4 separate regions of the Mus musculus genome follow, and all the other regions are reported to be linked to region 3. The links are microRNA targets in miRTarBase. Many come from high-throughput screens and were not tested one by one. Region 3 holds a microRNA gene; each other region holds the end of a gene's coding sequence.
Evidence for each region. The annotated mature microRNA mmu-miR-410-3p reads AAUAUAACACAGAUGGCCUGU and lies in region 3 at 2,685-2,705, shown strand. An mRNA with a match to its seed (bases 2 to 7 or 8) in the 3' UTR can be bound and repressed. Matches are read on the target gene's strand: a 7mer-m8 pairs with bases 2 to 8, a 7mer-A1 pairs with bases 2 to 7 and ends in A, and an 8mer does both.

Region 1 (7,120 bases), not on the chromosome of region 3:
TCTTCTCCCCTTAGCAGTTAAGAACTACCCTTTGCAAGTAACAGGCAGCCACAATGCAGGCAAGTCCTATCATATGCCTTTAAAATTGCACTCTGCTATAATACTTCCTTCTCTGCGTACTTTCCAAAAAGTCATAATTCTTCCATCCTTAAAGTCACGTCTTTTTTTTTTTTTTTTTTTTTTGATGGAGGGTCACACACTGTAGTGGTGACCTTCCTGCCTTAGGCTCCTGTATCATCAGGTCTGATCCTTGACTCTACGGTTTTCAGGAATTCAAGAATGTCAGTCTACCAGGCCCCATAGCCTGAGTCACCGGAAAACTCCCAAGTCCCTGAAACCTTTCAAGGGAGACCCAAGATAGCTGAAAGCCATGCCTGGACGGGAATGGAGGCCTCACAACAGGGCTATGATACAGGTGCCATCCATCAACAACAATCCTCTGGCTTCAGGTAGTGTAAGCAGCCTTAAGTATGACCTAAACAGGGACTGCACGCTCCTAAAGCCACGAAAGTATAAGCATGACAAAGATGAGACAGACACTTAAAAGGACCTTAAGCTTTTTATTGGTGAAGCTGACCATTTTCAAGATATCTTCATTATGAAATATCAAAAATGTTTCTTCCCCAAACTGAAAACTGGCTATTATATTTAAGCTGTAGAATGCACCCTTACCTTTCTTAGCAACACTTATTTTTAACTTGCATTACTGTGTCATCTGACACAGGTATCCTAGTACAGAACAGAGATGGTAAAGTCATAGTGGCTAGAATGGTCTCAGGATGTGGGCTCCAAGTCTTTACTGCCTGACCCCATTCCTTGCAGTGCCACCAAACTGAGAGGTGTCCCTGTCAAAGTCTCCCATGCCTGAGCTTCAGCTGAGATGTCTCAATAGCCAGGTCTTGCAATTTAACGTCCCCGTAGCTGGAGAAACACTTTGTCACTTGTCACAACACACAATGCCATTGTCACAATAATAAACTTGTGATTTTTTTTAACGTTCAACATGTTTCTCAAGCACTGGGAGTGAACGAGGCCTATCTTCAAGAGGTTCATGGCTTTGCTACAGGGTATGGTAATGTGCCCAATTAACCACTCTCTATACACAAAATATGGTTTCTCATGAGCTTACCCAAGACGTTCCATCCTGTGAATCCCCAGTGAAGTGGGAAGCCATGGAGTTCAGCTAAGGTGCTGCAATTAAAGATCTTCTGTATTGGCTGGCAGTAGAGGCCAGGGTGGCCAATCTGCGCAGAATCCCTGCTCTTCCTGCCCAGCCCTCTACAGGCAGAGGAAGCTGACTGTGCTATTTGAACATGCTTAAAGGAGAGGGATGGCTGCCCTCCACTCTGCATGCCTAGGGAGAAATGGTTACTTTATACACTGGGAAGTATGCTTCTCCTTTATTTAGGAAGCATTTATCTAGGGTATGTTCTTGGATCTACTTAGTTCTCCACCCAAATAAACTGGCCACATGGCAGGACATGAGAGGAAGGAATCTTTCATAGGAGTTGGTATTTCTTTCTTAAGGGGGGAAGTAACAAGTAACAAGACACAGAGACACATGACCCTCTGGAGTTTATGCTGCTGAAACAGTATGTTTCCAGTATGCTTCTGTAAAAGCCTGCCCCGAGGTACCTCTGAAGCTTCAGCATGTATTTCCTTCCAGCTTTTGTGGTCCAGACTCAAGTAGTAGGAATCAAAGGTTGTCAGGATGGCCTAGTTTGGCTCCAGGGGCGAGGCAGTTGCTGGAAGTGACTCAGGCTCTTTGCACTCAACACACACTGTGGTCACAGACCGGACTGGTATTAAAAACTCACGTTTGTCACTGCCCTGGACGGAGGCTAGAATGAACTAAGTAGCTGGTATGTTACACTTTGTAAGTGGCTGACGACGGTTTCTCTCCACCTTCTGCGATGTTCACTCACAACTATGCACTTTTTAAGTTTTAGTAACTGAGAGATTACTGATGTTTCAGGAAATTAACAGCTAAGAGTTCCAGAGACCAGTGGATATCGACACTGGCCACTATTTGTTCTAAGGAAGGTCACCTGCAAGGGGGATGTCTCCAATTGCAGGGAGGAAATCCTAGAGTCACAGGGTTAGTTGACTTATCACTTGAATGTTGTTGTACAAGACACCCACCAGTGACACCACCAAGAGCCATTGCTCCCTCGTCATTATTGCTCTCCCACAATTACAACAGATTCGCTGTGACATTTTAGTTATGTGTAGAAACTTTGAAATGAGCAAGCTGAGGTTTTTTGCACCAGGAAGTTAAAACGAGAGAAAAAGTTGACACATTTTATGATTTATTTTATTTACACAACTGAAATTATTTCCTTAGTCACCTTGATTACAAAAACAAGTCAACACGGTATGGTTTAATGGCCTTTCTTAAATAGATCTTACAAATTTAGTGGCTGACAGATAGCTACTTAATACTCAGTAATATTTAATAAGGGGTAACTTCTGCATATATGTAGATGAAAAATCTGTCTGATAGTGCTAACAAGTATAGGTACTTTAACAAGTATGGGTGCTTTTATATCTCAGGAACAGACAGACAATGGTTATTAGTCAAGTGTTAATTCCTCACAAATGGGCCAGCTATTTAGACTTGGAGCTCAGCCCTTGAGAGCTAACTTGCCCTAGCAAGTCACACTTACCGTGTAGGCATGTTGAATAATTTGAATTCATCCGTATTTTTGCACTTAATAAAACTACCATTAAACACATCTGAAAAAACAAAATGGGTCCCATGACTAGAGATATTTATATAAAAAACCTTATCACAGTGTATCTGAAAAAAAAATGGCCCAAAACTAAAGCCATATTATATGTTAAAATAAGCATTTTTCATCTTCCTGTCTGTCTGGCTATGTGTGCACACAAATATCACACACACTCCATAAGGCTCTATCTGGTATACTTATCTGAGCATTCTCAGCCACATAAAATGTCACAATTTTACTGTGTTTGTGAAATGCCCATAAAGATATAGTATTTTATTATGACTATTTAAAGTCCTATCACAGTGCTTCAAGTCTGAAGACCAGGCAGTGTTTTGGTAATGTGACCTTTTCATGGGAAGTGACAGTCCACAGACAGCCAAAGAAACTTCCAAGAGCCACCCCTAAAGCCCTAGAGGAGTGCTGAGTGTCTGTGGCTACAACTGCCCATATAGAAAGACAAGAACCTTACACGTGAGTCGTGGTTAGAACAGAGACCAAAACACGTACCATAGCAGCATAAAGGACGGCCGGAAGAGCTGACCCATGTGCCTTTCACACAAGCTCTATAAGAGCCAAAACCTTGTTCTCTCACCTCAGTCAGTGTCAGGGAAACATCTAATGCAACTAGATGAACTGTCCTTCCCTTTGGGCATGAGCTGGCAAGCCAGGGATTAAAACAAGACAGACCCACCTGTCCCCAAGCAGAGGGTGGGCACACTCTTTGGTGGGTAGGGTGTACTGCAGACTGGCTTGCTGGGGGTGCAGAATTTGTGGCTCAAGGCCTCTGATGACAGCAATACTGGACCTGAAGGCAACTCTACTCCAAATGCCCCGCTTCTTCACCCTGTTCTGGTCAGTGAGTCGGAGTCACGCAGCGTGAATGTTGCCGAGGGCTCAACAGGGGGACTAGGTCATGTGGGGTCACTTCTTTCCAGTTGCCTTGTATATAGCAAAGGCAACACCAAATCTCTCCATTGTGCTAATTCTAAGAGCCATTTAACCATGACAGAAACAAAACATTTTCCTAAGAAAAGGCTACATGGCTAAAAAACCCAAAAATCTATATTCAGGATGTCATATATTGAGCCGAGGACAGCCCGGAGGCTCCCTTCTCCCCTCCAGCCCTAGTGGACCCGGGTGGATGCAACTACCCAGTCCTATGCTAGGCTTTCATTCTAGACAAGGACAGGTCGTTCTGGCCAGGTTTTTCAATCAATGTTGTTTGTATGTGTGCTTCATGTTAAAACATTTTTGGGGGGACGTGGTAGGTTTTTTATCAGCCAGGAAAATCAGACAGTTCAGGTACAATTTCTCATCCAAGTCATGAATGGCAGACCCCACACATGTGGACACAGAGCTCGTGGTGGCTAGTGATGAGCAGACCAACAGAGGTGCTACCCAATGCTAAAGGGAAAGGGGATCTAACCAGAGACTCAGAGCACCCACCCAATGGGGCAGGTGTGCTAGGAGGGCAGACCACCAGGAGGGAGGACCACCAGCTATTTGAAGTAAAACCATTTGGAAACCAGCTAAAACAAACTACAGAAAACAAGTCTGCCACCTAAGGCTGGTCTTGGCCAGTATGATGTGCACAAAGGGGCCGGTGGACTTGATGCTCTTGGCATGTTTCTTCCCCCTTGGGAGTCCATTACCGTTCACAAAGGAATGTTAGCTATCAAATGTGTCCATTAATTTTGCCGCTGAGGGTGAAACCATCCAGTTAGCATATACACTATCATTTGCATATCTTGGGAACCCAGTGCTAGTGCCATCGGCTCTCGTGAGTGGTACAGGACTCTCTCCAGGCCAGTTCGGGTCTGACATGCCTAAAAATGAAAACAGATAATTTGTTCTGCACTGAAGAACTCAAACTTCATGTGCAGACAGTAAGGCCTTGGCAAAACTCCCTTTGATGGTTAAACCAACTTGCGCTTTCCGTGCCAATTCCATTAATGGTTTTGCATCCCAGGTTTCCAAAACACTGTTCTACATGGGGCAACCTTACATGCTCCTGGTACAGGTAATTTAGCAGAGGCTACCAAATCTCAAAGCCTATGAGTTTAGAGTCTCAAATCTGAAACAGATCTGGTGAAATGCTCAACTGTTTTCCCAGGACAGTGTAAAGCATCAGCGAATGGCTGGACTATATGGCTTCCTGTAGTGGGAACCCTCTAGGGGCTGTTCACCTGTCATCCCTGCTAACACGGAGGAGGAAGACTTCCTTTCCCACAGGGGGCACACACAGGCTGCCCCCGCAGCACTGTAGGCACAAGGCAGGTAGTGAGGACCTGTGACTCAGGAAGCATGCAGGAAAGAACCTACCTTAGCTTGAAACTGCAAGACTTCAAAAAGCATCAATGAGGAGATTAGGAAGCAGAAAAAAAATTTCAAGTATTTAATCCAAGACAAAGAAGGAGTTTTGGCAAGAGCCGTATTTACTGTCCATTGCAAGGCCACAGCACCACAGACTATGTTCTTTCAGAAAGCATTGGCTCAGTATTTAGCACTGGCTTCGTGAGTGACAACATCATGATGGGGGTAGGGTGCAAAGGATGTGAAAGCAGCAGTCTGGTGTCTGCCCAGGGCCCACATGGTTTTCCCGCTGCCCCACACTGCACGGCTGTGGACACATAGCTGGAAGTGGGATTATGGTCGGCTTCCGCGAGGCACACACCAGCCCAGGAGCAGCCTGGGGGTAGCCCAGCTTGCAACGATAGCATAGCTGGGGATGCCAGCTTTCCCTGGCAAAACTGACTCCCTCCCCAGATCAGGTAAATTTAAATATCGAAGTCACCAGTACTATGATTTGCTTCCCAATGGGCCCTGAGAATTCTGCTCTAATCCGCTTCTCCTGTGTCATCGTAAGTTGCTGGGCTGTGTGGTAATGACACTTATTTTCACATCCTTTTAGAAAGACATAGCTGCAAAATGCCTGAATGTATGTAAACTAGATGCAAAGTCAGATATTTACAAAGAAAAGGGTTCGGAGGAGGCTTTGGTGTCGGTGGGATCAGAAACACTCTTTAAAAAGCGTTACAGAGAGTTGGGATGGTGCAGAGAGGACAGCGTTGCTAGAATCTAGTAAATGCATGTGAAATTCTACCATAGAGTTTGTTTTCAATCCATGTGGAAGGGAGGGAGCGCGGGAGGGGAGCATTGTTACAGTCCACCAGGGGTGTCTCCTCTTCTGAGAGCCCATCGTCATACAGCAGTGAGTCCGAAGGTGTGGATGCAGCCAGGTCCAAGTAGTCCTGGAAGAGAGAGAAAGAGATGGCCAGTTATCCTTGACCCTGGGCCATTCCTAAACATACCCAGGGACCCTTAATGCACATGGGGCAGAGGTGCTGGTTGTACCCCTATCCTGTACTGTTTCTTGGCCTCTCTGTTAAGACCACAGCCTCCATCCTGGAGGGTAACACTGAGGTAAGGCACTGAGGTTCCTTAATCCAACCAAGAGCAGAGGGCTGGGGAAATGGCTTCTCTGTATAGTCCTGGCCTGAAAGCACTCCTGGTCACAGTATTCCTGTAGAAACATAGTGTGCCAAGTGGTAGGTTTAACCCAATGGATGCTTTTCAGTTTCCCTCCCAGGACCTCTTCTGTTACAGGGAACAGATACAGATGCAGGGACCTCAGCTCCCATGTACAACAAACGCAAGATGCTTGCCACTTAATATTGTACCACTTAACTATGTAGACGATTCCAGTGTTGGGTTGGCTGTTTCTCAACACCGCGATTTTGGCATCTATTGTTACTTCTGCTCAAGACAACCTTGAACCCACAAATCTTGGAAGATTTTCTCAAAAAACAACAAAACTGTGTCAATGTATTTGAGGTTGTTCACTTTCTTTATCAGATTCAGTATATCCATTTTATGTATCCATTTTATTTTGAGTTCTTTGATGCTTTTGGAGCCGAGTTTTGTGCAGGGTGATAAATGTGGATCTATTCTCCTTCAGGCAGTCATCCAGTTTGACTAGCACTATTTGTTGAAGGTGTTGTCTTTTCCCAGTGTATTTCTGGGTTCTTTATCAAAAAACAGGGGTCTATAGGTCTGGGTCTTCAATTTGATTCCACTGATCAACATGCCTATTTCTGTGTCAACACCATACTGTTTTTTTTTTTTTAACTTAGCTTTGTAATATAACTTGAAATAAGGGATTGTGATATGTCCCATAGTTCTTCTATTGATCAGGATTGTTTTAACTATCTTGGATTTTTTTTGTGTGTGTGTGTTTCCATATGAGATTAAAAATTGTCCTTTCAAGATCTGTGAAGAGCCGTGCAGTTATTTTGATAGAGACGGAATGGTAGATTCAATCTTTTAGCAGGATGGCCATTTTCACACTATTCATACTACCAATCCATGAGCATGGAGATATTTCCATT
Region 2 (7,114 bases), not on the chromosome of region 3:
AGTGTGAATACGTTATCTCTAATAGTGGTAGACCAGAAGAAAGGAACACTGAAGAGGATATTTTAGAGGTAGGTCTGAGAACTGAAGGACCACCCATCATCCTAAAACTGCACAGCATCAAGATGACAGGCAAAGGCTTCGGGTGAGTCACTGAAACTCCAGCCCAAGGAGAGAGTGCCCTTCCCAGAGCTCTGCCCAGCAACCTATCTAAACCAACCTACAATTCCATTGTCACTTGGCCCAGAGCACAGGCAGAACACCATCTGGTCAACCTACCTACCAACCTCTTCCACAGTTCAGCTGTTATCTGTTTCTGGTCCAGCTTTGTTTACAGTTGAGCAATTCCTATTTCTCCCACAACTGGAGTTGGGTATGTAGTGAGAAAGGGAGTAAGACTATGGCAGGCCCTGTGACCCACTGACCTGGGCTGAACCTTGTAGAAAGATCTGAGACATCAACATGCGTTGTTGAAATTTTTCAAGTCTATGAATGAATTGCTGACCAGGTTTGTTCTTCCCCAAGTTGGCAATTCCTTGTTTGATACTGACTTAATATCAAGTAATGCTTTAAGGCTCATGTCACATCTGCTGTCCATCATACCTCATCTTGCTTAGAGAGCAGAGGAAATGACCGTAAATTTGGCCATTTAATTAGCACAACATTCAGATACCCTTGACCTAAGGACGAATCTGGAGACTCCACACATCGTACAATGTGTCCGTTTGAAGTTTACCTTCTCTTTAATGATTTAACAGAAAAAAACTGCATGATGAAATAGATTTTCTCCAAATATATATATATTTATATAATATATAATCTTAGTTAACTCAAAGGTATATACATTGTATAATAAATAATATTTATAAAAAGAGACTTTTTGAATATAAAATCAAAAAGATCAACAACTTCTACAACTTTTTACAAAACTTTGGATACAGCAGGTTGGTAGGGACCTCCCATTGGATGCTATTACCTGACTATGGCGAGGATAATTACAATGCGCTCATGTACTATTATTAAATAATTACTTGTCAGCTACTTGAATACGCCCCGGAAACATGACTTTATCACTTTTAATATAGAATACATAGATATGAAGAGACTTGTAAATTGTTGTATCCGTTCTGCTCAAGTGTCCTCACACAAGCGTTATCCAGTTGACTTGATTTCCAACTTCTGGAAGGAGAGATGGGAAGGGGCATTTGGGGTGCTAGGAAGGGATGGGAGGTGTCCCTAGAGCAGTGCTCATGGTCACATGGTAGAGAGTGCAGGCAAGGGCCTACTGGAGCCTGCTTGGCAAGCCAACTGCACAACAGGAAAGAAGTGGCTGACCCCTCGTCAAGCCAGCATTAGCAGACCCTAGACAGAAGCGGGAAAGGACAAATTCTTTGTTCTGCCCCATTCCCCCATTTTATCTCCTCTTTCTGATTCTCCTTAAGACGGAGTTGATGGATTGATCCGTGCAGCCCCACCCACCTTACTAAACCCAGCCAGTACCATCATGCGTCGGGAACAGAGCTGGGAGCTGCCTCCATTCGCTGCTTGCCTCTTTTGAATATCTATCTAATCCAGATCCTTGGGAACTGAGATAGGCTATCCCTTTTACAAGTGGGAAGAAGGGCTTGTTAAGGATCTCTTGTCTTTCTGGTTACTTCAGCCAATGGGAGAAAAGGACGCAGGGTAGTCTGCCTTCTAACACAAAGGAAGTGGGACTCTTTACCCTCCCCACCTGCCAACCATGTTTAGATTGCTCTCTAAGGTGCCCCGCTGCTCTCCTCGGTGTCTGCTGGTTAGCAAGGCTGAGAAGGGCAGAGCAGCCCATTCTTTCTGGGTGTGGTGGATGGAGCCAGAAGAGACCTGCCTCCACATCTGACCTATTTACAAGGTCATCATGAAAAAAAAAAAAAAAAACGCGTAGTAAAGGTGGACACTGTAGAACAACAGAAAGGGGCGTGGAGATCTGACTGTCGCTCCAGGGCAGAACAGGGCTAGCGAAAACAGGAGCCCACAAGGAACTCTGTTCTGCAGATGGCTTCCCAGGCCGCCCAGAACTCTGAGGTCTTCAAAACTCAAGATCTTGCTCCCACTGTTGGCCAGGGGCCTCCCCATCACTACATCCCAGCTACACCTATCTATGGCTTTTCTCAGAACGACAAGGTATGTCCAATTTAAATGGGAGTCGACGGACAAGAGGGGACTGCGGGGCTCTGTCCTACTTCACAGTTCCCACCTCAGAGGCATCTTGGAATGTCACGAGTAGAGGCAGCTTGGACACAGAATCTCGCCATGGTCTTGTCCTTCCCACCAGGCCAAGAGCTCACACTAGCCCAGCCTGTTCTGTTGCGGTAGATTTTTTTTTTTCATTTTTATTTTCTTTAACATGTGCAAAGGTAAGCCTCGAGTCTGTCCCCAGCAGACCCTGGTAAAACCATAAAGAAAGCCCCTCTGTAAAGCCGTACACCATCCAGAGCAGGGGGAGAGACGTTAGTTGAGAAAGAAGCCGCCCGTCCGTCCGAGGCCGGCTGGGTCCAGGTCGTTTATCACATGCAGCTGGCAACAGTCCATGCTCCTTGCTGGCCAGTGCCGAAGGCTGGCCTGGATCTAGATCCTGCTTCTCATGGGACTTCGATGAATGGATCCAGCCGCACAATCTACCCCTTCCCAGTGCCCTTTGGGAAATAAACAGGAAGAATCAGAAACCTCATAACTGCTGTCAACATCACCCCCTGGGATGCAAAGATCACAGGCTGCCTACGCTGCCAGCCCTGCCTCCCTCCTCGCCCCAGAGCCTGCTGTTGAGGGAGGACATGCCATCCTCAGGAAGAACAGAGCCTGCATCCACACAACTCAAACCTCCTCCTAGCTGAGGAAGCCCACTGTAGGTAACCAAGGGAGCATTGCCCTTCCTACGTGGAGACGGAAAAGCCTGCCAGTCTGAGCCACCAGTCACAGCAGGGCTAGTGCCTGCCATCAGACGCACAACTGCCGTGAATTGTCCAAAAGAAACGGACTCTACCTAGTTATGGTGAACTCCCTCCCAGGGTGCTTTCCTGAGCATGATCACTCTGTACAGCCCTATCCCGTGGGATCTGAGGTACTGAGCCACGCCCCAGGCACCCCCCAACCCCCAGCCAACCCTCATCTCTGGTGCTGCTGGCAGAGCTGAACCAGGCATAGCAAGACGACCTGGATATGCCTAAGGTCCCACAAAAGACTAGTAACAGACCCAGGACACAGGGCCAGTTAGAGGGGGTGACTAGATTCATAGCCTTTCCGACATAGGGATAAAAAGAATAAATCAGATATTTGTAAACTACCAGCACTCGGATACCAAGCTAGTGGCTAAGTGGAGACAGTGGACAAACCTCAAGCAATGGAGAAGGTGTCTTCCCCACTTAGGGAGGACTGGATGCTACCACTGTGCTGAACTCTTCTCAGAGAAGGGCATGTGGCCTGCTGGGCTCTGCTCTGTGGCCCCTTTGTGCAAGAAAAAAGCCAGAGCCTTCTATGCCTGCTGTCTCCCTGCCCATTTGTCCCTTGGCTTCCATCAGTAGCAGCGCCTTCGGGGGTGAAAGGACAGGAAGGAACCAGGTCTCAACCACCTTCTGGCCTATGGCTCCAAACCAGGAGCCCAGAGCAGGCTCTTTATGGCTGTGTCTGGCTCCTGAGCAGCCCTGCAGGGCACAGACCTTATCACTTCACACAGGAGGAAACCTGGGCTCCGAGAGGCAAAGGACATCCCAGTGGGAGGGATCTTTCTTATCAGGAAGTGTGAGGTTGAGAGTCCAGTCCTCCTCCCCCCTCCACCCCCCACCCCATGGGAAGGGATTAAGGCTGTGAACTCTGTGGGCATAGCTTCTTAAAAACATGTCTGCATGATACTAGAAAAACAGCAAGTGTCTACCTTAGGAATGTGAGGAAAGGGGGCTGCTTTCCCCTCTCCCCAGTACTGGAGATTGATTCAGGGGTGTAAGTGTTCTACTACCCAGCTACACCCAATTCTTCTTAGGAGATCATTTTTAGGCAAGGATTGGAGTGGAGCGATTTGCTGGACAACAAAGGCTCACCCTGCACCTCCTTCCCTGCCTGGAAGATCTCAGCTGCCCACATGGGCAAGGACGGAGTGGAGTCATGGGCTCTGTATCTTGGACCCACACTGCCCCATGTATCAAGCTTGGGTTGGCAATGCTGAGGCCTATGCAAGCCTACATAGGAAGCTTCTGGAAGCAGACCCCTGGGTCTATCTAGGCCATTAACTCAAGTCTAACCTTCAGTGACATGGGTGGTCAGGACAAATGGCCCTTCTAGCTGAGTGATAAGAAGCCACACCAAGAGCTCCTCAAAACGGCCAGAGCTATGTATGTACTATCTGATATTGGGGGGTGCAGGGCTAACTCTTGTCAGAGTGAATACCAGAGAAGGCGGCCGTCATGGTCTGCTTCCTTCCACCTCAACCTTCCTACTTGCTGACTTTTCTCCCATCCCTTTGAAAAGCAGAAAGAACGCCCATGGGATCTTCCTTTGCAGCAACCCCGTGCTAACGCTGATGGCAACCCTGACACTTAGAGCAGCATTCACACCCACTAACTTGAGCTTTATAAAAATCCATCAAGATCCCCATACTGCCATCACTGCGCAGATGAGGAGCGAGGTTCAGCAGTGGGCGCGTGAAGCGCTAAAGCTCGCCGCTGTCTTCCTTCCAGCCTTGACCTTGATAAAGAAAACCCACGCCTCCTGTATGGTTCTAGAGGGACCCTGGGAATGGAACCTAAGCCCCACAAGGAACTTCTTAGATGGGCTTGTGATGTCAGGTACCCCCCCACCCTTACAGAGCGCAGACATGAGCCACCAGCTCTGGTGTGTCACCAGCTCCAAGGTCCCTGGGTGGAACACACTGCGCTGGCCATCCATAGATGGACAGAAAGCTGCTTTTCCAGGAACCAATGTGGTTTCCCACGTTCCTCACAGCTGCTCGGGGAAGGTAACAGATGCTGAAGCCAGAGTTGTTGGTTGACAAATAAGAAAAGCCAGTTGAGAGTCAGACTCACTAGCAGAGCCCTCTCAGGGGAGGGGACAGAGACAAGGGTCACACTGGCCCATGCCAGAGCCTCTAGGATCACTCTGCTTCCAGGCTGACCTTTCTTGGGGTCCTCCCACGCATGCAGGCCACCTCTGGGAAGCTTGGAAGCATAATCCACCAGGCTTTTATCCCACGGTCACTCACCCCAGCCGCTCTGAACTGGGAGCTCTCCTCTTTCCTGTCTCCCTCCATAAACTTGGTGAGAGTGCTCCCGCTCCACCCAAGCTTCAGATCTGGCTTCCCCCACCCACCTTCCCAAGCTCTGGAGGATTTGTGTTAGGTCAAAGCTTGCCCTCTCAGTTCATGGGTGATGTGAAATGACTCTGCCCCAGGGTTAGGAGAGACTTACTAGGTGACTGTCTCAGGGTCTCACTGTGTAGTCCTGGCCTAGAACTCTCTATGGAGACCAGCCAGACCTCACACTCAGATCCAGATGCCTCAGCCTCCTAAGTGCTGGGATTAAAGGCCAGTCCCACCATACCCTGCCCCTGTTTCTGACATTTGAACCTCTCCTTTAGACAGTAGGGAAACTGAGGCCCTGAGATATGACACTTTTAGGGGCATGGCTGGGACCAGACCTCAACCTCTCTTCTGGCCGAATAGATGCTCACTAATGACAGCCAGCAGCCATGAACAAATCTGGTCTGGCTCATCACTGCTAATTTGTGTAAGAATTTTAATCAATTGCTTGTGGCTGACGTGCACACCCTCAGTCATTATCTGAGCCTCGTGTAAATACGTCAAGTCGCTCCCCAAGACCATTCCCGTGGAAGCGTGGGAAGCCTAGTTTCTGACTTCAGCTTTGGGAACTTGTTCGTCTTGGGAAGCCGAGAATCAGAAGAGCAGGCCTAGCGGATGGGAGGAGAGGGCAGTCCCACGTCCCGCCCCGCGCCCTACCTGGCTCACTACTTGCAGGTGTGCACATCGTAGATGCGAATACACTCTTGGCAGCTGACATAGCAGCACCAGTGGAAGACGCAATGGCATTTCTCCTTCCGTTTCTCCGTCCTCGTGTTGTGGCCCCGGCCACAGCACAGCAGATCGCAGCCATCGATGCCGTGGGAGGTGACATTGCAAGTCCGGTCCCTGGTACCAAAGGAGCCCGTCTCTGGGTTGGGCTCACAAAAGTTGGGGGAGTTCTCGTAGTAGACCAGGTCCCTCTCGGTGGGTGGCTTGAAGAGCGCGTACTTAGCCCGCAGGGTCTCCACCCAGCCTCGGGACTCACGGTGTTTCTCCACCACCATCTCGGAGGCACTGTCGTACTTGTCCTTGAGGAAGTCGCCAATGGCACGGAAGTCGGGCTGGGCCCACCAGCAGGTCTTCACCTCGCAGCTGCCGGACAACCCGTGGCATTTACACTTTAGGTGCATGTGGTCCAGGATGGTCTAGGGAAAGAGGGGCAGCAGCTAGTTCAGACTGACACACCGGGAGAAAGCTTCCCCTCTGTACCACACCCTCCTCTACTCTTACTTGGTGCCAGGAAGAATGGGTGGAAACCAGTGTCCCTAGTCACACCCCCGGCCCCAGCAGGCTTCACATTCACCTCATCCATAGAAGTGGTGCAAACTAGGGACTGTTATTCCCATTGAACAGATGGAAAAACTGAGGCCGAGAGCTAAGTGTTCCACGAGCATAGGAAGGGCTATGCTATGGAAACCCTACTTTGGATTCAGAGTCAGTCCCCAACCCACAACCACATCACAGACGTACACAGGCACAGCCTGCCAACCAGTGTAGCCTATGGGTGTTGTTCCTATGGGGCAGCCATACTGCACTCCTTGGCAGATTTCTCAAAAGATCCAGGAACAGCATCAAGCATGATTCAAGTTTGGAAACCTACATGGTGGGAAGAACTGACCACTACAGGTTGCCTTCTGACTTCCACATACACAACATGGAATACACACACTGAGAATGAGTAAATATACTTTAAAAAACCTATTCAAAGGACAGCTGGAAGAGAGGAAGGAGGGTGGTCAGGGGGTTACTATGGGGTGTGGATGGGAACCTGGCCGTGAAGGCAGGGGTCCAGGG
Region 3 (7,096 bases):
GAGGCGACCAGCATTTCATCCCGTTTACATTAAATAATAGTGATAAAATAATCACAAAATAACACCACAAACTACCAGAATAGCTTGGAGGAAAATGTGTTCAATTGACTACAAATTGGCAGAAGAATCCAATTTTCTTGACAACATTTGAGCTGCGACATTTGACCTGGGGAAACAGTACTCTGTAGACATGGCAGCCGCAAGGGGCAGCTTCAGTAGTGGCGGATGCTATGAGCAGTAATATTTGTGGTAGATGAACGCACATTGAGGAATCAAATCTTCGTTCAGATTTTTAAATGGGAAAGAATTGATCCTAATGAAAATGATTTGAGGAAATAACAAGGGAAATAAAAGAAATGAAAATGGCCCAACAGCACAGTCAAGGAAGCTAAACAGGGAATTGGATTAGTTTAATGGAATTTACTTTAAAAAAAAAAAAAGGAAAGAAATGCATGTTTTTTTATGAAAATCAATGTGGGTGTGGTGTTTGAGATGGGGAAATCTATGGATATAGACTAGAGCTAGTGGGGTGATAAGAAGGACTGGTCACCATGTGGGTTTTTTTTTTTAATGTGGCTAAACTTTATTTTCCCATCCCAAACCTTTACAGAGAGCTTCATGGAGTATTCAGAAGCTGGCGGGTGTCACCTGGAGGATGTGACTGGGTACCAGTGCCAGAGCACGTGCCCACTGAGCAGTCTTCTTCACTTTCCTCGATCCTCATGAAACATTCCGGGTAAGACACTGGTTCTGGGGAGTCTGCTCTTGCCGAGCAGTTGGTACCTGGAACATTCTAGGGCCTGCCCTTCCTTGGGTTTCCATGTTGCCAGCTCCCAGGGCTAGGCTTAAAGACGTACCCATTGTTGGTGCTGAAGGGCTAGGCCCGTACGGGAGGTCATTTTAGAGTGGATGTATCCAGGGTCTAATATACTATCTGGGGTGTGATGAGCACCAGGTTTCATGGTGGCTCTCTTTCCAAAAGGATCTTTACCTCAAAGGACTCCAGAGGCTACATCATTGTCTTGGAACTGGTCAGTGGCTGGAGCTCTCTCCAGGACAAGTGCTTGGAGGAAGAACCTGGACAAGCTTCCCTCCCCATACTGTTGACTGGATCTTGTAGCTACCGTTAGCCACCATCATCGCCATTGTGTGCCTCTTAGGAGCATTTCCAGGAGGTGATGCCAGCTGGGGAAAGAGCCTCTGTCCCACAGGTCAGTTTCCAGAACACCTACATGAAGCTGCCCGTGGCGTCTTTTCCCCGTATGACACACTGCATGTGACCAGTCTCTTGCTGCCCTGCAGCAAGGCTAGAAGCCTGTGTGAACTCTTGCCAAAATCAGAGAAGGGATTCTGATGTTGGTCACACTCCAAGAGTTTTAAAATGAGTGGCGAACACAGAATCCATACTCTGCTTATGGCCTAAGTCAATGGATCCTGACCCTTACTGGAGAGCCCTCCCTGGCGTGCTCGTGCGGGGCAGCCATACACACTGGCACAAGGGGACCCTGCGGGATCTCCTTCCGCTGTTCTTTCTCTCCTCCCTCCATGTTTATCTTTGAAGCATTACTTGCTTGGTTTATAGGACTGGATGGTCAAGCAGTTCTTGCTATGACATCACCGTGGGGGGAGGGGGCAGGTGACAGGGCGGGGATGCCAGGGTCGTGGGGCTGCAGTGGTTGGGTGGGCCCAAGGAGGAGCATCTCTGGATGATGCAGTCATTGCCTCCTCGCTTCTGGAAGGCATCGTCTCTGGGAGGGTGGTGTGGTATATGCGCAGGGTCTCAGCATCTCCCTATCTCCAGCTTACAAAGGAGAGATAGAGTAAGCAGAGTTCTGCACCCACTTCTGCCCCGAGTCAGCTCCTCGCTACCTGGGTCTCAAGGTTGTCTGGGAAGGCTTTAGATATTCTTGGAAGGTGAAAGGGTGGTAGATTGCACTGGGGAGGTGATGGAATAATTGCTTTCACGTGGTGGAGGGTGGCTCCTCACTGAATGGGGAGTTATAATCTCTGAGGGGCTCCAGGATGGTTCTTCTGGAAACTCAGCCATCGGCCTCGTTCTGAGCATCCGAGCCTCTCCGTGGTACTCGGAGAGAGGTTACCCGAGCAACTTTGCATCTGGAGGACGAATGTTGCTCGGTGAACCCCTTTTCGGTATCAAATCCCTCCAGGGAGGCCACCTCAGGGAAGACCATGGACTCATCTCGCTCTGGGGTATGGGACGGATGGTCGACCAGCTGGAAAGTAATTGTTTCTAATGTACTTCACCTGGTCCACTAGCCGTCGGTGCCCGCTGCAGCCTGCGCCCAGGATGTCACAGCCTCAGCTCAACACCTCTGCTGGTACTTGAAGGGAGATCGACCGTGTTATATTCGCTTGGCTGACTTCGAATAATACATGGTTGATCTTTTCTCAGTATCAACGCTCAGCTTGGAGAAGCTCTTGGAGTTGCAGCCCCTGTGGGGGTGGGGACAGCATGGTGCTTCTAGGTTGCTGCCTCCGCGGGGAACTGGGCTGGGTGGAACAGGCTGTGTGCTGCCTGTGTCAACCCTACTCACCATTTATATGCAATCCCCCCCTTCCCCCCAGGACAGCTTCAGGTGGTGATTCCAGCTCCAGGGTTGCTGCGGTCAACACTGGGTACTTGAGGAGAGGTTGTCTGTGATGAGTTCGCTTTATTAATGACGAATATAACACAGATGGCCTGTTTTCAATACCACCTGCCACTCCGGTCACTCGGCAGTACATACCAGGTGTCACACCACTGCCCGGTAGGTAAATGCATGGACTCTGTATGACGCTTGTCACCCCCTCTTCACTGAACCTCAGCTCTGAGGAGCCTCCTGGGATCGCACCAACCTTGTAGGCTGGGCCACGAAGCATTGGCCAGATGTGCAATGGATGGCTGTCCACTTTCCATGCCTCTTTCCCGCCACAACAATGGGTGTTTGTCCCTGTCTAAGGCTTCCACCGAGGGCTGCATGCTCAAATGCCCTGTACCCTGGGTGCTTCTCAATACCATGAGGGCTTGGAGGGGCTAGCATGATACTTAGGGAAGAGCCAGGCCAGTTGGTTACACGTGCAGTTCCTAGTATCTGAGGTGAGATTGCCCGTGACGGGTTTCCATTCTTAATGCTGGTACAGTGCATGGTCACCTCTCTTTATCATTGGCTCTTACTGTGTGAGCATGGGTGTCAGGGGAGGGACACACTTTGCTGACCCACTGGACACCACTGATGGTCAGGCATGTAGCTGACTCATCCTGACCCAGAGCCTCACATCTCCTGAGGTGGGGGTTGGGAAGTCCAGAAGGGCATCTTAGAGGAAGAAGCATCCTAAGTAGAGTCCGTGCTGGTGGTACCTGAGCTAGCTTGTCTCTGAGACGTTTGTTTTCTATCTGATGACTATCCCACAGCCTACTTCTCTGCACCATGTCCTACCCTAGACCATTTCTACTTTGAGGCATTGATGCCAAGAACTGAAGCCTTTGTGTTGGTTGACTCTCTAGTCTGTATGTGAGACCATCCCTTGGCCTGTCTTGTCCTCAGTGCCACCCTGTTGGAAATAGCACAGAATGTCCTCCTGAGTCTACAAGGCAGTGATACCCAAGCTCTGTCCCTGCTTCACGAGCACAGGGGGCCCAGTAGGGATTAGCCTGCACTTCTTTTTTTTTTTTTTTTTTTTTATTTTTTTTTTTTTTTTCATTTTTTTTTTATTAGGTATTTAGCTCATTTACATTTCCAATGCTATACCAAAAGTCCCCCTTACCCACCCACCCCCACTCCCCTACCCACCCACTCCCCCCCTTTGGCCCTGGCGTTCCCCTGTACCGGGGCACACAAAGTCTGCGTGTCCAATGTAGCCTGCACTTCTTCATGTTTCCTCCAACTTAACACTCTGGCTCTGTCAGACTCCTGTGAGCTTACTGTAGAGGCTTGACCTAGAGTCTCAAGGACCCCAGAAAGTACCTGATCACACCCAGTAGGAGCCTTTGAAAGACAGGCTATAGATTTTTGGTATTTAGTAAGGCTCCCCAGGGTGGCAAAGAGCTCTTTCTGATTGGGCTTGCTCCCCATTGGAGCAAGTAGCACCCTCACCCTGGCAACTCCACCCTGCATGCTTTTTCTCCTCTTCTGGGCCTCCTCAGCAGCAAAATGCTCTTCCAACAGAGATAGTGGCTGCGCACCCTGGCTTGTACCTAGCACATGGTCTCCTTTAGATTTCTTCTCTTGTTCAGGATGGTCTGCCCAGGCGCCCTCTCTCTGGGAGTTGGTCCTGGTTACTGTCTCCCACAGTCCATCCCCCTTCCTTGGTCCTCAAGCTTGTAGGCCCCCTCCACAGGAGTTCAAGACTCGGAGGGGATCGTGTTCCCTGCTCTGCAGTGACAGTGCAGGCAGCCTGACACTCTTATCCAGCTCCTTCCTTTGTGATATGACATCAGACTGCTTGTCAGCTATGGCTCCCCAGGTGCCTGCTTTCCCAAACTGCCTAGTACCTTGGTTCCCAGCCTCTCCCTGACCCCAACCAAAACAAAACAAAACAAAACAAAACAAAAAAAAAAAAAAAAGAAGAAGAGAAAAGAAAAGAAAAGAAAAGAAAAGAAAAGAAAAGAAAAGAAAAGAAAAGAAAAGAAAAGAAAAGAAAAAAGCTTTAAGATTTCCCAAGGCAGACGAGGACCTTTCCTTTGCGTCTTTTCTCTTTCCTCTGTTTTACTCCCTACCCCTTCCCTCCCTCCCATCTTACTTCCCTGACTTATCTTCTGCTGTATTCTAAGCCTTAGGATCCAGGCCAGGTCTATAGTGACAGAATAATGGAGTGTGCTGATTGACTAATAGAGTCCCCAAAGGCAGAAACCATATTAGGTTAATCCCCAGGAAGGTGGTGAGCATGAAGCAGGAATTCCATAAGATGTGGTGGCTGATTCCATAAATATAGAAGCTGGGTTCACTTAGTCTTTGCATTTGTTAGAGGCCTCCCACCCCAGCTAGTCACCGATTTTTGAGACGTACAGCGATAGGGGACAGACAGGTCAGCTATGTCTGCGGGCTTTTCTTTACTTTTGTAGCTGGGGGTCTCATGCTAGGCTTCAAATTCATCTGAGCACAACCCCCACCCTCCACTCCGTGAACGTCTCCGTGGCAGCAAGCCAGAGGCCCCTCAGAGGCCCTCGTGCAGCAGGCCTGAGCTGCTGTCAGGGCTAATATTTTATGCATGGACCTAAGCAAATGGGAACATTTGGAGATGGAAATTGCTGTTAATGACACATCTTTGGAATATATTAAACGCGTGCAAGAAGGCTGCTGATCTCTCCATTTAATTGCTCCAGTGTAAGCGCAGTCACACCACGGCATCCACAGATAGGCTACCCCTAGTCTCTGCATCACCGATGGGGAAAGCCCCAGGTACCTCAGCCACCAAGGGAGTATTATGTACAAGATGGAATGTCAGCTGGGGTGCCAAGCAACCACCGACACGCACACTCCAAATTCATTGGAGACCCTAAGAGGATGGTCCCTCCTGCTCGGTGCAGACTTTTATTAAAAGCAAAATTACTAGATTTATCTATTGTTTGAGAAGAAGAAAAGACAAATAAAGGACTTTTCTCATCCAGTGAGTCAAGTGAAAATGTCTGCCCCTCAGGCAGACAGGAGGAAAGCCTCTGGGGTGGGGGACTTTCAGAGGTCAGAGAATTCACCATTCCCAAGATAGCGTGTTAACCTAATGTGCCAAGGTCACAGGACACAGGCTAGTTCAGGTGATCAAGTCAGTTTGCCTATCCCACAGTTCCTTGGGGTGTGGTTAGACTAAGGCAGTGGTCTGTTCCTTTACTATTTTCAAGGAGATGGTGTGTAGCTTGTGTGTGTGTATGTGTGTGTGTGTACTGGCTGTCCCCAATAAGCATGTGTGGAGGGTGAGGAAAGATTGGCTCAAAGAGGTGGAGTTGTCTTCCCAGGATCACACAGCTAGAGACAGGGCTCCAGGCTGGATGTCCTTAAGATCTTTGCTTGTACTGTTTTGTGTCTCTCCAGAGAAGACCCCATGTTCCATAGGTGATAGACAGCTCATTGACTTGCTCCCTGTTCTTTCTGAACAGTGAGGCAGGATTACTTTCCCCAAGACATTGCTTGCTGGAATTGTCAGGATTGTCGTTTTCCCCTTTTAGTTTACCTAAGTTAACTAAGATGCTTTCTTTCATGTGTGGCCTGAGGAGGGGCTGCCTGCTCCATCACAAAACCGCCATGTGTGTGCGGGTGTGAACCTGATGCATCTGGTCAATGGCTAGAGAGCTACACACCCTTGTGTGCTGAGCTGGCTAGGGCTGTCCTAGAGATAGAGTGAGTCAGTAAAGTTTCTTTGTCAAGACTTGAGGGGCTGTGGCAACCTGTGTACCCCTCGAGCTGCTCATAGTCGATGCTCAGGAGATGCCTGTCTTCCTTGCATCAAATGGGTTTAGGCATCAGCAGCAAGGAGGTGAAAGATGGATGGCTGTGGGAAAGCTCAGAGACTGTTTGTGGAATGAATAAGTAAAAGCACACCCTTTTTGAGGAAATTAAGAAACAGGGAGAGGAAGAAACGTCCAGGGAAAGACAACATAAATCTCTAGCAACATTACCAACACCACAGCTGGGCCTGTTGAAAAGACCCTGTGGAGGTGGTGGGGTCATTTGTCATGGGCAAGGACAGGCTTAAGGGCTGGGACATGGGGCCTGATGGAGGCTCGTCCATCATTTTCTCATTATCCCTGCAACGTGGAGGGCAGCTAGCAGATCACAGAACAACAGCCTCCCAATGAAGGTGGCAGGGCTGTTGAGTGCGAGGGACCCCGAGGGAGGGCAGGCTGCCCCAGGCCCTGCCCCCTCCAGGAAGCCTTCTTGCTCCAGCCCAACACACAATCTCACTTTGTCCTCGGATGTTCATCATGTGATCTTTTATCAACGCAACTGTGGCGGGGCCCTTGCTAACTTGCTTCCGCGTGAACCTGTGCTTGCCTACGTGTGGTAAAGCGGAAACACTGTGAACACTTCTGACCTTGTCTTTTCAATTTTAGGCAGGTGACAACGCTGAATTGGTCCTCAGGAGCGGATGTTCAAGGAACCCT
Region 4 (7,115 bases), not on the chromosome of region 3:
TAGTTTAATTTTAATAATTTATATAATTTGTTATTAGTTATAGTGCATAAGATACACTTTGTGTGTTTTAAATGATCTAAAATATTTTCTAGACTGCTTTAACTTATCCTGAAAAAATATTAGTAAATTAATGAAGCTCTCTAGTGGACAAAGCCATGAAAATAAAATAGCTAACAGATAAAGACTAAAGAATATGACATTGATGATGTATCTAGACTTCATAACTTGTTTTTTTATAACTTGTTTTAATGTCAACTTTTTCTCTATTAGTGAAAGAGCAGCAGTAGATGCATCTTACATCGATGAGATAGATGGACTCTTCAAAGAAGCCAATATTATTGAAAACTTTCTAGTACAAAAAAGAGAGTTCCTGAAGCAGAGGTTTACAGTAATTACCAACACCCTACACAAGTAATGTGCCTATGCCAGCTAAAAGTTTTTCCTGTTACTGCTGTGTTCTTCTTGCTAGAGAAAACATATATTAAACTGTAACTTTTTCTAAATTTAAAAGAAGTTTTAAGATAGATATTAATATGAAGTGTGTAATATTTCTTTTGAGGGTCAAATATTTGGCACATTATATAAAAATATAAATTAAAAATTATATGCATGTTCTTTTCTTTATTGTTTACTCCTAAATTGCTTAGCCCTTCTTAAACTATGAAAGAGGACTCTGTTAATTTGATTATGCTTAACAATATTTGTTTAAATAGCAGATGATTTTTGAGATAGTTTTAAAGTGTTTTTCTTGATTTTTATTATAAAAGAACATTAAAACATTAAAGGTATTTTGTCCAGTTTCTTAACATATAATAAAATATAAGTGTGCTACTACTATTTAATATTTCCATTTGATTATTTTTACTTTTAACCATTATATTTGACTAATAAAAATTTGGCTTAAAATATTTTCTTATGATAAAAATAAAAACTGGAAGTTACTATAACCTGGCTATTTTTTTATTTTTTTAAGTGTCATGCTATATGGAATCCAGGTGAATTCATGGTGTACCTGACTCAACCTCCCTACCTAGTATCAGCATTAAGGTTATATTCCAACAAGTCTGGCTGTCAAGTGGCTTTTTACCTATTAACCACATTGATTTGTAAAGTTTATGAATTATATTTAGAAGCTTTAGTTAGAGTGGATGATATGGAAAGGAAATTAGTAATGTGGGACTCAGGAGATCATGGCTTAAACATGGCTTCAGCAGGCCACTCCTATCTTATGATAATATGAAGTGGAATTTGGTCTAGAGAAGTGGTTTTCAACCTTCCAAATGCTGCAACTCTCCATTACAGTTCCTCATGTTGTTGTGACTCTCAACATAAAATTATTTTTATTTCTGATTCATAACTGTAATTTTGCTACTGTTATGAATCAGGATGTAAATATCGGTGTTTTCTGATGGTCTTAGGAGACTCCTGTGAAAGGGTTGTCTGACCCCAAACGGGTCATGACCCACAGGTTTGAGAAATGCTGGTCCAGAGGATCTCTTAGATGAAAAATTCCTCCTCTATTCAAATAAAGCACATTTATGATTTTATTAAAAATGGTCTATGAAATATATAACATTAGTTGGCTCCAAAAAAATCTATCTCCACTTTTTATCATATAGACAATTGGTCTTTTCTGTGTATATTTTCTAATATAAGAATAGGGCACCACAAGGAATTTGTATTTTTAAATTAGGCAGTATCTTTTTACCTGGATGCTTGTAAACTTGTAAATTTTCATTCCATCAAGTTACATGTTTGTTTGAGGCAGGACCTATGAAACCCTGGATGGCCTAGAACTCACTCTGTAGGCCAGGCTGTCCTTAAGCTCTCAGAGAATTCCAGCTGCTCTGCATAGATTGCTAGAATTAAAAGAAAAGAAAAAACAATAACAAAATAATGGGGTGCTGAATCTCATTTTTTGTTATTTTTGCTTCCAAGCAGTGTTTGTTATTTAGGTTCTCAAAGATACTTGTTAAAATAATAAAATTATGTACTGTGATATGTATTTATGGTCTCCTGTCTGTGCTTTATTGTGAGAGAATGCTTTTCATAAAACTAATGAATATCACCTTTAATTTCAGCACTCAGGAGGCAGAGGCATGTGGATCTCTGTGAGTTCGAGATCAGCCTGGTCTACAGAGTGAGCTCCTAGACAGCCAGGACTATACAGAAAGACCCTGTCTTGAAAACCCAGCTCAACGCAAACTAAACCAAAAACAACGCCCCTCCCACCCCAAACACCTAATGAATGTAAAAGAAAAGGGATGAGAGGAAAGGGAAAAGGGTGAGCTATTGCCTGCCAGTCTAAATTGAAACTTCATTCTGTCTGAATCATTTCAGAGGAGAGAAGTTGTACAATGAACCCCTGAATCTGGTTCCATGGACTTAGCGGCAGGTGGGGGCAAATTCCAATAAGGAATGGTTAAGGAGGGAGGCTATTATTGGTCCAATTTTAATGTCAAAGGTTAGAGTTGGTTAGGACACTTGCCATAGAACTGAGACTAAGTTAGTGTTTTGAGCCCCGCCTCTCCTTTTCCCTCCCCTCCAGTCCCATTTGATCTCAGAGCCAGGGACAACCCAGGCTCATTATTTACTTAATCAGGCCAGTGGCTGCAGATTCAGAAATCTCAAGACCTGAGTTAAGAACTGAGTTAAATACTATTTCTCAACTGTTTCTGCGTTTCCTCAGCAGCCTTCTTGACACCGCAGGGTTCTTCCTGTGGCAGTGTACCATCGCCCAGGTAGGGGACTCCCCTCTACCCGTTCCTTTCCTGGGCCACTTACCAGTCTGCAGTTGGACTGCTGCGCCCGGGGCCTGAGGATTATAGCAGGCTTCCAAAGCCTCTTTGTGTGATGCAGGCAGCACACCACAGGGGAGAAGTGAAAGCAAGCTTGTTTTACCAACCACAGGATTGGTGTACTCATCGTTGTGGGAACAGCCAGTGTTCAGTCAGCTAATGTGACGCACTGGGGCAGGATTCAGCCCAGAGATCTGATTTGTCCTGGATGCCTCAAAGGGTTTTTCTCTATCCTGAGTTTTCCCAGCTGAAAACCACTGCTTTGTATTCGGATGCAAATGTTTGGTTCTCCTATTTGCATTCTGGGGAACTGTCTCAAACCCTGTGGTTTTTGTTCTGTAGCTTTCTATTATAGTTACTACTTCAAGGATTTATTTTCAGTGATTGGTTAATTATAGAACTGCCAGAAATGGCAACAATATGCACAGTTAATTATAAAGTTATTTAACCATAGTAACTTATATAGTATGCTGTATTGTATGTAAGGCAGCATGCTAGGTGCTAGGAGTGGGGAGGTATAGCTAGACTTTGTATTCAAAGAATACTGCCAGGAGAGGTTGTAAAGTGCACTGGCCTTTTATCACACAGGACAGCAAGATAAGGGCCACCAGAAAGCTCTCCGAAGTTGTAGCGAGGAAATGGGAATTCGGTGCTTAAGAAGCAGGTGACCCAGAAATTGGAACTTGAAGGTTGAGTTGCATATGCAAGTTTCATCTGAAGGAGATGAGAAATATCCTAAGTGAAGAGAATAGAATGGTCATGAGACTAGGGAGCAATCCAGCTAGGCTGGAGTGAACAGCTAGGGTGGGCTGAGGGCCATACGAGGTCTTTAAGTGCCTCGCCTGCTCAGGTAGTTTCAACAATTACAAGTGATTTGTGATTGAATGGATGGAATTCACATGGAGGAATGAATGATGCAGCCAGATTTACATGTAGGAGATTTAATATTCACATTATTGCACTGGTGGAAAAGCATCTTCCCCGCTCATCCAGATAAATTAGAATCTCTAGACCTGATGAGAGCTGGAGGCAATTGTCTGAGGTCTCTAACCCTTAAGATGGTCCAGTGGCTCCAGGAACTCATCTCACTAAGTTTCTCTTTCCAGACTTCAACTGAGAGGCTGCCAAGAAAGAGTCAAGGGCCTGAGTTAGGCAGCAGGAAGTGACACATAGGAAGGAGAAGTTGAGGTACCAGGGCTGAGGAAGATGGGCTTCGGATAGGAAAAAATCTGTAGTCCCAGGAGAGAGACTGATGAAGACAGAGTTACCCGTGCAGAATTTTGAGCCTGGGGAATTTATATGTAAGCCACAGAGTCATCTTTTTTTCAAATTTCCCCTACTGGCCTGTGCCACTGGGGTCAGAAGAACTGTGCTGTAAGGAGAGTGAGCAAAATGAATTCAGTGCCCACAGAGAGACTGAAGCGAGATGTTTGCTGGTGGAAGAGCTGATTCAGAAGAGGAGATAAAGAGTTGAGAGTCGGGTCGAAGACATAACTGGAGAACTTACGAATCAAGATGAGATTACTAAGGGCCAACGTTGAAATTAAAGGGTAAAGGTCCAAGGTTATACTTTGACATTTCCTTGGTGATAAGAGGTCAGTAGAGGAGATTAACATTTGCTAAGTATCATTGCATTTCATTATGATGGGAGGTCTGAGTAGGAGTCATTAACCTCTCTTAACCCTTATTTTATTTTCGATAAAACTTGAGGTTTGGCAGGGTTAAGATGTTTGCCTAAAGTTACCAGCTAATGAAGAAGGAAGCTGACGGGAAGCAGAATAGTTAAACAGCAGCAAAGTTAAAAGAGCAGTTAAATGTTAGAATAGCTCATCTCCCAAGCCAAGAATGGAAACAGGCGTAAGCAGGTGGTGGCAGCCATATCAAGTACTCCATACAAAAAGTTTGAGGAGTATAATAGGATCAGTAACATGGAGCATAGAGCAGACAGATATGTAAATATAATCTAACATGAAGACGCCACAGAGATGGCTCAGTGGTTAAGGACGCTGGCTGCTGTTCTAAATGATTTGGGTTTCATTCCCAGCATGCACATGGTGGCTTACAACCATCTTTAATGGCAGTCCCCTGGAATCCAACACCCACTTCTGACCTCTGAGGGTACCAGGCATACACATGGTGCAAAGACATAAAACATAAAGTATTTATAATTCATGCGTATCTAGTTGGACTGTTCAATTTCACTCTATGTATAATAGGGAATCTACATTTTATCAGGGAGTCTTAATCTAAAGGGAGAAGAAGATAAACTCACCACTGTTTACCAAAGAAGAGCAAGGAATGTCTAGATTTCTCTTTGCTTTTCTTCAAAGCATTTTCTTAAGACCGCTAATACTACCTATCATTCCTGCCTTTTACTTCCTGCTTGTTTCACCCCAGAGACTATTAGGAATAGTCTATATATTAGGAATCGAGTAGAGTCTGGGAGTCTAGGAATTCGGATTTCAGCTCCTGTGCCAGAGAGTAATGGATTGTGCGTCTGTTGCAAATAATCTTTAGACAGGACTGAGATGGGATGGCAGGATGACTCATCTGACCCCCTAGGCAGCGAGTTCCTCTTCTTGGGTTGGGAGACTTTTCAGTCTCTCAGCAGTGTCTAGCTCTTCCTTGAAAAACTAAAATAATCCAGAGAAAGAAAATCATCCATAGTGCATCTTATTGTATCGATCATTTAAAGTTAAATAACACTAGACATTTTAGGCTTATGTATTGTGTTCTGAAGCTTTCTATAAATTTGCATGGTCACTTACAACCTTAGGCATGGTAAGAATTTTTATTTTTCTGTCTTAGAAAGGAAGGGAAAGCACAGAGAGGTTGAAAACCTTACTTTGGAAGTGACTCAAGATTTGAACCTAGGCGCTCTGGCTACGCTCTTTAAAGGAAGTAATATTTGAGTTAGATCTTGAACAATAGGTAGCATTTTCTTTACTTTTTCTGGTGTGTGTGTGTGTGTGTGTGTGTGTGTGTGTGTGTGTGTGTGTGTGTAAAGGTGAGAGGTTGATAAAGAATTTGTTTTTCACCTTTATTTTTTGAGATAAGATTTCTCTCTGACCCTGAAGTTGATCACTAACTGGGCTAGACCAGCGGGCCAGCGAACAGTGGAATCTTCCATCGCCTCACTCACTGTTAGGATAACAAGGCTTGGTACTGTGCCTAGTGCTTTTGTTACCGTTGTTGTTCTTTATGTGAGTGTTGGGGTTACATAGCAAGCAAGTGAGCTACCTCCACTTCTCCCACTCCTCACTGCTCTCCTCTCCTGCTGAGACAGGAGCTTACTTGGTAGCTCAGGCTGGCCCCTTATGTTCCTCCTTTTTTAGCACTGGCATTACAGTTGTGTGCCACCACAACTGCCAGGCATTCTTCTCGTGTGGCTTTATTTTTCAGTGTTGGAATCCAGCACAGGACCTTATGGGTGCTGGAGAAGCGCTTTACCTCAGATCTACATCTTCAGCTATAATTTTCTTAGGGAGAGGTTTGGGGAGGGCATTCAGGGTGAAATGAATGTCATTTGGGAAAACAAGAAAGAGCTTGGGCCTGACTAAATTGTCATATTTAGGGAAATAAAAGGTCTCATGTGCTGCAAATTTATTATTTCAAAGAAATTGGATCATATATTGTAAAATAAATTGCCAAAAGAACATAGATCTCATGTCTTGTGATAAGTTTGATCTGTTAATTTTTCTAGTCTAGATTCGTGTACCACTGATAACTTCTATGAAGTAAAGGATTGTAGCCAAAGTTACAAGTAACTTTGTTCTAACTAAAGTTATATTTGACCACACCTCTCTGCATTCGTTCTTATGAAGTCTTTTAAGTATGAAGTAACAGGGATGATGCCCAGCTCCTGATTATAGGGTAGAATTTTACTCTTGCGGCTAAGGATTGGGGTGGTTCAGAATGGAGCATCCATGCTGGTACCTTGAGACTGAGAAAGAGGAGAGAGGAGTTTGGAGACTATGCGGTTTAGGTTCATACTTCCCTCAAACTTCCATTTCACAGAGTTGTCTGTCAGGGAACAAGCACGTTAACTGGAGATCCTGTAACAATGGTGTGTGTGTGTGTATGTGTGTGTGTGTGCGTGTATGCATGTGTGTGCATGCACATGTGTTTATGTATATGTGTGAACTTGTTTGTGTATACATGCATGTTTATTTGGTTATGTGTGTGTGTGTACATGTGTGTGCTTTTTGCTTCTCTTTTACAGTTTTGAAGGAGTATGTGAGGGAATACTCACCAGGAAACCATGTTGGGACCGAAGCAGAGCCTGCCATGCATTGCCCCACTGCTGACCACGGCGGA

Region 1: miRTarBase lists Ret as a target of mmu-miR-410-3p. Seed matches in the 3' UTR shown: 7mer-A1 at 2,774-2,780.
Region 2: miRTarBase lists Wnt3 as a target of mmu-miR-410-3p. Seed matches in the 3' UTR shown: 7mer-A1 at 810-816 and 7mer-A1 at 803-809.
Region 4: miRTarBase lists Tex12 as a target of mmu-miR-410-3p. Seed matches in the 3' UTR shown: 7mer-A1 at 578-584.

What each region holds. Positions count from the first base shown.
Region 1 is chr6:118,149,453-118,156,572 of GRCm38, forward strand. It overlaps Ret (ret proto-oncogene), which reads right to left. Exons shown (of 19, transcript NM_001080780.1): 19 at 2,296-5,983. The coding sequence ends at 5,804. Among named protein-coding and RNA genes, the nearest start is that of Csgalnact2, 14 kb to the left of the region's middle.
Region 2 is chr11:103,811,632-103,818,745 of GRCm38, reverse strand. It overlaps Wnt3 (wingless-type MMTV integration site family, member 3), which reads right to left. Exons shown (of 5, transcript NM_009521.2): 4 at 5,978-6,465; 5 at 725-2,669. The coding sequence ends at 5,986. Among named protein-coding and RNA genes, the nearest start is that of Gm35365, 31 kb to the left of the region's middle.
Region 3 is chr12:109,741,080-109,748,175 of GRCm38, forward strand. It overlaps Mir410 (microRNA 410), which reads left to right and starts at 2,636; the gene lies at 2,636-2,716. Mirg (miRNA containing gene) reads left to right here. Exons shown (of 8, transcript NR_028265.1): 3 at 611-736; 4 at 983-1,211; 5 at 2,278-2,339; 6 at 2,587-2,768; 7 at 7,046-7,096. Mir541 (microRNA 541) reads left to right here and starts at 1,330; the gene lies at 1,330-1,419. It overlaps Mir409 (microRNA 409), which reads left to right and starts at 2,079; the gene lies at 2,079-2,157. It also overlaps Mir412, Mir369 and Mir3072.
Region 4 is chr9:50,550,647-50,557,761 of GRCm38, reverse strand. It overlaps Tex12 (testis expressed 12), which reads left to right. Exons shown (of 5, transcript NM_025687.3): 5 at 271-614. The coding sequence ends at 415. It overlaps Bco2 (beta-carotene oxygenase 2), which reads left to right and starts at 2,624. Exons shown (of 12, transcript NM_133217.3): 1 at 2,624-2,741; 2 at 7,021-7,115. The coding sequence starts at 7,060. Il18 (interleukin 18) reads right to left here and starts at 3,062. Exons shown (of 7, transcript NM_001357221.1): 1 at 2,785-3,062.